Ovis aries: one gene and its partner. The protein of the gene in region 2 interacts with the protein of the main gene of each other region in a pairwise test. Links are inferred from orthologs where the notes say so. Each region holds a gene or a part of one and is shown on either strand. Other genes may lie near its edges. The genes, in order: ARPC3 and WASL.

The links.
Region 1: the proteins of WASL (region 2) and ARPC3 interact in binary tests that used the Homo sapiens proteins (3 or more experiments, as listed by UniProt). The two-hybrid records come from large-scale screens. The link is inferred for Ovis aries from reciprocal best matches to the Homo sapiens genes WASL and ARPC3.

Annotation. Positions count from the first base shown.
Region 1 is NC_056070.1:54,357,060-54,360,883, forward strand, and holds part of ARPC3 (actin-related protein 2/3 complex subunit 3), read right to left. Parts: intron 1,413-3,824; coding exon 1,344-1,412; intron 490-1,343; coding exon 363-489; intron 5-362; coding exon 1-4. UniProt on the Homo sapiens protein: Component of the Arp2/3 complex, a multiprotein complex that mediates actin polymerization upon stimulation by nucleation-promoting factor (NPF).
Region 2 is NC_056057.1:89,602,733-89,606,556, forward strand, and holds part of WASL (actin nucleation-promoting factor WASL), read right to left. Parts: intron 1,703-3,824; coding exon 1,182-1,702; intron 1-1,181. UniProt on the Homo sapiens protein: Regulates actin polymerization by stimulating the actin-nucleating activity of the Arp2/3 complex. Involved in various processes, such as mitosis and cytokinesis, via its role in the regulation of actin polymerization.

The DNA of each region.
Region 1 (3,824 bases), on a different chromosome or scaffold from region 2:
ACCTCTAAAATCAAGAGCAGGTAAAATAAAAAATTATATTTGAGAAAGCATCCCAAATGTGCTAGCTGTTGATTTAGACACTGACCTTGGCAATATTCTTCAACATCTGAACAGGATAAGAAGTAGAAACAGCAGTTCAAATGGTTTTAAGATTATACTCATTTTGGTCGAAAAGGTTCTCTACGTGTCATACTTGTTGCCAAGGATCTTTTGTGAGAGTGACTCTCACAAAGTAGGCTAGTGCATGAGCTAATGAGCCCACTCTCAATCTGTACAACAATCAAGTCAAGAAAAGGAGGCGGGTAAACAGTCCAGTGGAGAAAACCATGTGCCACACAGGAAGGGGGAGGAGATGTTCTTACCATCTTCCTGTTTGTTTGCAGGTTTGGCGTAAATGGCATTCAGCGGAAAACCAGGCTCTCCAGGAATGGGAAAATTAGTGATTCCCAGTGTATACATTTCTTTCTCGCCTTGGCTTTTAGAATTGCACTTAAAAAAAAAAATTATATACACAAACGTAGGGAAAAAGGATATAACATTTCAATTTGCAGTTTTTTGGTCTAAGTGGCTAGGTCTGGGGTTCTGTTTTTGTGCCCTTTTGTAATCTGGTGAAGCCTGTAGGCTCCTCCTCAAACTAACCTTTTAAATGAATAAGATAAAACAGGACTACACAAGAATCCAATTATAATGAAATACAATAATTACAATATTTAAAAAATCAACTTTATGACATAGCCACACATGTGCTCTTTAATGCACTAAATAACAAGACTCAGCAGTGGACCTAACAACTGAATTTTGAAGCAGTAATGAATGCAAGTAAAATTTCAAAATATCTTCAATTATAAATGTAGTATGAAACTGCCACAGAAAGTCACAGGTATTGCTAATGCTACTGTGGGCTGCTGCCTACGTTAATAATCAAAGTAAATGCTAGATTTCAGTTGGAGGTTAGTGAAAAGATGTAATCTTTTCTCCACTCAAGTTCATGCACCCCTGAATTCTATCCCTGGACCCCAGGTTAAGAACCCTTGAGCCATGGGCTTAAAAAAGAATATTTGGTCAAGATTTCTGTCTTGGAAAAATATATGCAAAGCCTTAAAACACCACCATCCTTATCTCCTCATTAGTCAACTACTGTTAAGAGATATACATTTGCCAAAACCTTAAAACACCATCATCCTTCTCATTAGTCAACTACTGTAAGTTTAGACATCTACATTCAGATTTTCCTCTCAAGTCCATGCTCTAAGTCAGAGGAATATTTTCTACTTCTCCTTAAAGACTCAACAAGACTAAACACCTATTGTATTCCTGACAAATGATTATCCAGGCTTAGTTACCTTTTGGAGTTTCTTTAGACACTCAGAAATGTAGAGAGTTATATATATCAAGGTCCTATCAGCTTCATTCTATGGGAAGAAAACAAAACTTAAAAACAGTCCTGAGCAAAATGCAATAACTATTTGCAATAAAAGAATTCAATCTTTGTCTTTTGATTTATTAACTGAAAACTGAGAGCACAGTTATCACAGTATCAAAAATTCCCATTCTCCAAATGTAATCTTCTCAAGCCCTCTGTCTGCTCCTGGGGAGGCAGCCACCAGCTTCCTCTCTGAGCTGTGTGGCTGCCCCTGTTTTTCTCAGCTCCCCTTGCCTTGGGTTCCTGAGAAGCTGTACCAATAACTTCTCCTTCTAGGAAGGAGAGCTAACAAAGCCGCCTGGAAAACCTGAGGTGAACCATATGGCTCGTTAATCTTTAAAAGCCCTTTCACTTCAGGATCTGTGCCGAGAATAGAAACATTTATGACTCTAAAGGAGGAAGCAATTATTTCACAACTGACCTATTCTTGAAGAGCTCCAAAAGTCCAACTTTTGACCTGACCCAAAGGAAAATGTGGAGAAGACAAACGGATGCTAATCAAATGTGGCAGTACTTCAGGTCAAATTTTACACAGAGTTTAATTAAAGTGTAGTTTAAATAAACAAACTACACTTTTCCCTAGTTTTAAGAGTCTATGATATTCGAGAGAGAATGAAATGTGGTGGAATTTTAACACAAACACCACACTTAAGACCATGCATTAGATTAGAGATGTCCATAACATCACAGAATGTTTAGATCACAGTTTATTGCCCAAGAGTCTACAAACAAAGATTTCACACTCTGTTGGATTCCAAGGGATTAAAGTTTGGCAAGGAGTTGAAAGAAGCAAAAAGTAAAGGAGAAAAGGAAAGATATACCCATTTGAATGCAGAGTTCCAAAGAATAGCAAGGAGAGATAAGAAAGTCTTCCTCAGTGATCAGTGCAAAGAAATAGAGGAAAACAACAGAATGAGAAAGACTAGAGATCTCTTCAAGAAAATTAGAGATACTAAGGGAATATTTCATGCAAAGATGGGCTCAATAAAGGACAGAAATGGTATGGACCTAACAGAAGCAGAAGATATTAAGAAGACGTGGCAAGAATACACAGAAGAACTGTACAAAAAAGATCTTCATGACCCAGATAATCACAATGGTGTGATCACTCACCTAGAGCCAGACATCCTGGAATGTGAAGTCAAGTGGGCCTTAGAAAGCATCACTACGAACAAAGCTAGTGGAGGCGATGGAATTCCAGTTGAGCTATTTCAAATCCTAAAAGATGATGCTGTGAAAGTGCTGCACTCAATATGCCAGCAAATTTGGAAAACTCTCAGCAGTGGCCACAGGACTGGAAAGGGTCAGTTTTCATTCCAATCACAAAGAAAGGCAATGCCAAAGAATTCTCAAACTACCGCACAATTGCACTCATCTCACATGCTAGCAAAGTAATGCTCAAAACTCCCCAAGCTAGGCTTCAGCAATACGTGAACCGTGAACTTCCAGATGTTCGAGTGGTTTTAGGAAAGGCAGAGGAACCAGAGATCAAACTGCCAACATCCGCTGGATCATGGAAAAAGCAAGCAAGCAATTTTCAGAAAAACATCTATTTCTGTTTTATTGACTATGCCAAAGCCTTTGACTGTGTGGATCACAATAAACTGTGGAAAATTCTGAAAGAGATGGGAAGAATACCAGACCACCTGACCTGCCTCTTGAGAAATCTGTATGCAGGTCAGGAAGCAACAGTTAGAACTGGACATGGAACAACAGACTGGTTCCAAATAGGAAAAGGAGTATGTCAAGGCTGTATATTGTCACCCTGCTTATTTAACTTATATGCAAAGTACACCATGAGAAATGCCAGGCTGGAAGAAACACAAGCTGGAATCAAGATTGCTGGGAGAAATATCAATAACCTCAGATATACAGATGACACCACCCTTATGGCAGAAAGTGAAGAACTAAAGACCCTCTTAATGAAAGTGAAAGAGGAGAGTGAAAAAGTTGGCTTAAAGCTCAACATTCAGAAACTAAGATCATGGCATCTGGTCCCATCATTTCATGGCAAACAGATGGGGAAACAGTGGAAACAGTGTCAGACTTTATTTTCTTGGGCTCCAAAATCACTGCAGATGGTGACTGAAGCCATGAAATTAAAAAACGCTTACTCCTTGGAAGAAAAGTTATGACCAACCTAGACATATTAAAAAGCAGAGACATTACTTTACCAACAAAGGTCCATCTAGTCAAGGCTACAGTTTTTCCAGTAATCATATATGGATGTAAGAGTTGGACTATAAAGAAATCTGAGCACCAAAGAATTGATGCTTTTGAACTGTGGTGCTGGAGAAGACTCTTGAGAGTCCCTTGAACTGCAGGGAAATCAAACCAGTCAATCCTAAAGGAGATCAGTTCTAAACATTCATTGGAAGGACTGATGCTGAAGTTGAAACTC
Region 2 (3,824 bases):
AGGAAACTACGGCATGGGCCAAATCTAGTCTGCCTTGTCTTTTTGTATAACTTTATTAAAGCTAAGAATGATTTCTACACTTTTAAATGGTTGAAAGAAAACAAAAATGAAAGAATATTTGTGATATGTGCAAATTATCTGAAATTCAAATTTCAGTGTCCATAAATACAGCTTTATAGAGCGCAACCACATCCATTCATTTATGTGCTGTCTACGGCTGCTTTCACAGAACATGTACGGCTGTTCCATCTGTTGTACAACAGCAGAGCTGAGCAGCTGTAACATACTATATGGGTTTGCAAGCCTAAAATGTTTACTGTCTAGTCCTTTAAAGAAAAAAGTTTGGTAACCTTTGCTCTAAGTGAAAGTGAAGTCGCTCAGTCGTGTCTGATTCTTTGTGATCCCATGGACTGCAGCATACCAGGCTTCTCTGTCCACGGGATTTTTAAGGCAAAGGTCCTGGAGTGGGTTGCCATTTCCTTCTCCAGAGGATCTTCCCGACCCACGGATCGAACCTGGGTCTCTCACACTGCAGGCAGATGGTTTACCGTCTGAGCCACCAGGGAAGCCCTGCTCTAGAAGGTGAAATGATGATCTCATCCAGCTCAGAGAATCCAAAATCATCTGCCATCACTACAGAAATTCTTCAATTCTCTGTGGAGTCTGATTCCCTACTAATCTAAATTTCAGACACAGAAACTTTAAAATATAGTTTAGTTTTCATAAAGTTAATGGCCTGACTTTACCAAAATGATTACGATTGGTTTTAATATGGCTACTTTTACTTCTGTGTAGTTTAATAAAGATTTTTCTCACAATTAAATTTTATTTAAAAGTCTAGAACGATGAATTTTGAACACAGTGCAATATTCTCTTTATGAAGTTCTATAATAGGCAAACTAAAACTATGGTGACAGAAATAAGATCAGTGATTCTTTTTGAGAAGGGAGAGAGGCATGAGGGAACTTTCTGGGGTGGTATTTTGATACAGCAATATAGGTTACACAGGTAAAGGTATAAATGTGTGTATTTTATGGTATTAAAAATATCAGAAATTCATAGGGTTAAAAAAATACCAAGAGAAGAAGTAAAAATAAAGATTTCTTTCCGAAGATGTCTTATAATATTTTAAAAATTTCATGAAGACAGGTAGTCTAGATTGAAAAGAATGGATTACTTACAGATTTCAGTTGAATACCCTGTCGTATCTGGTCTAAAAGTGCATCCCTTCCGGAGCAGGACACTGGCCGACTGTTCTGTTCCACTTTTTTTAGCTGAGCACCCTCTCTAATTTGATCTAAAAGAGCTGCTTTGCTTCCTGCAGGAGTTGGAACTTGGTGGTCACCATCAGAAGGGAGGCCAGGGGGAGGTGGTGGCCCTGGTGGAGGCGGAGGCGGAGGAGGAGGCGGTGGTGCCACTGACCCGCTCACTGACAGAGGTGGAGGTGGTGGTGGAGGCCCTGAAGGTGCTGAGGAGGGAAGAGCTGGAAGTGGAGGAGGGTACATCCTGTTTGGCGGTGGTGGAGGGACTCCTACACCCGGCCTGGATGGAGGCGGTGGTGGCGGTGCAGCTGTGGGAGCTCTTGAAGGTGGTGGAGGAGGAGCCCCTCTTCCCCTGGCAGGAGGGGGAGGAGGGCCCGAGCTATGTGGAGGCGGGGGAGGAGGGGGCGGCCCTCCCCTTGATGGTGGTGGAGGTGGTGGTGCTGAAATACAAACAGAAAAGAGAAAGCATGCTTTTCTCCCCCACAAACATTATACTGAAAAAGCAACATATTTCAACATGCATTAAAACAGTATGAGGAAAGGCCTCATCTTTGTATTTTATTTTACAAAGCTATCTGAGCAAAGATGATATCTTACAATTCTTATGATATCTTATAATTTCCAATAATTTGGGAATTCTCAGCCTAAAGATCACTTTCCTCGTCTTGAAAAAGTATTCGCTGAAGTAGTAGAATTTAGTTATTAGAAATCAGCACCACTTCTCAAGGTAAGGGAATAAACATATTTTTATATAATAATAATAAAACTATAACAAAGAAATTAAACATTTTGGTCAATAAGCATCATTTTACATTTTAATAAAAATTAATGGTTACTTTTCCTCTTTAAAGAATCAAGTGTAGTTAGTTAGCTGTTCTATGCAGTTAATTTACATTCAGAATTAAATAGCTAATGTAGTATAATCTATTAAAATTTATTCAAGTTAATCTGAGCTAAACTCAGCTGAAATGTTCAACTACTTATTCAGGAGACATTAACAAATTTACTGAAAATTTCTAAACACTGTAAAATTCAAGTTAGTAAAATATTAACATTACTCTGGTAGTAATAATATATACCTTCTTATTTTGCTAAAGGTAAAGTGTAAGTTAAAACACAGAAATTCAAAGTATAAATTTATTCCATTTCCAGAGGCATGATTTTAACAAGAGCGTACACAAATTTACAGAATAATAAACTTCATTATTTTTTCATTAAAGAGTGAGTAGGAAAACAATAACTTTCTTTTTTTAAGGAATAAAGCTATTTATATTTACTGGTACAAACTAATACATTCTTGATGGATAGTTCTATAGTCTATACACCTTAATTTCAAATAATAGGGTTAGATGCTCAAAAATGCAATGATACCAAGAGGAAAAAAAAAACAACCCTCACTTCAAAGGAAAGCCAAACATTATTTTCTGATTTCATTTGAGACAATCATGGGAAATATGCTATAAAATACGGTATCAAATGTAGTCATAAATATGAGATGAAAAAGACAGTAAGGCAAGGCTCACAAGGGTATTGTCTCCTGATACAGAGACTTTTAAAACTGGAAACATGGAGCAGCAAACAGGACAGTCATCCTACTTGGATATAAGCCGCCCCTGAGGGAAGTGCCCATGATTTACACTCAAGGCATGCTGCTGCTGCAGCTAAGGTTCACCCAATTTTCTCACCAGATCCAAAGCAAGAAGACAAACTTGCTAAGACCAGTCTTTTTCCAACATAGTTTGTAGTAACAGTAAAACCAAGAGGACATGGTCTATGTACGTTACGTACACCCCCTGAATAAGAGAGTACGTCAAATCCTCCAAGCAGATACAAAGATTTCATTTTAATCAATTTAAGGCTTGCATTTCAAAAAGCAATGATATTTACCTGAACTAGTATTTTTTATGATTTAATTGTTTGCTAATCAAGAGGAAAAGGACTCACTCTATTCTACTACAAAAACTGTATTGTTAGTCAATCATTTCCTGTGGTTTTGCTAAGGACTCTGGAACCATAATCTTCTATGTACAGTGAAGAATCTCTTCAGTAGAGAGAATAAAGTTCTTCTGAACTGGGAGTAAGCACACTGATTGGAATAATTTGGGATTCAGCTAAAAATCATTCAAGGTGAAGGTGAAGTCGCTCAGTCATGTCCGACTCTGCGACCCCGTGGACTGTAGCCTACCAGGCTCCTCCGTCCATGGGATTCTCCGGGCAAGAATACTGGAGTGGGGTGCCATTTCCTTCTCCGAGACACTAAATTACTGTTCAGGCAAGGGGAGAGCATTAATTTATAGTGAATAAATTATCAGCTATACCAAATTTGGGTATAGCACCAGTTCAGCATTTCTATTCTCTGAAAAGTGACTGGAAATATCTCTATCATTTTCGTGAGGAAAACATCTATTACCACCTTTCTATGTTTATAATCTGTACTATGACTACATAAAAAGGAAAGCATGCTGAAGACATGCCATACCCCAAGGCAAAAATATGAAGGAATTAAGACAGGAGAAGACAGGAGAGGTGGCACAGCGTTAGCCAGGTTCACATGCACAGAAA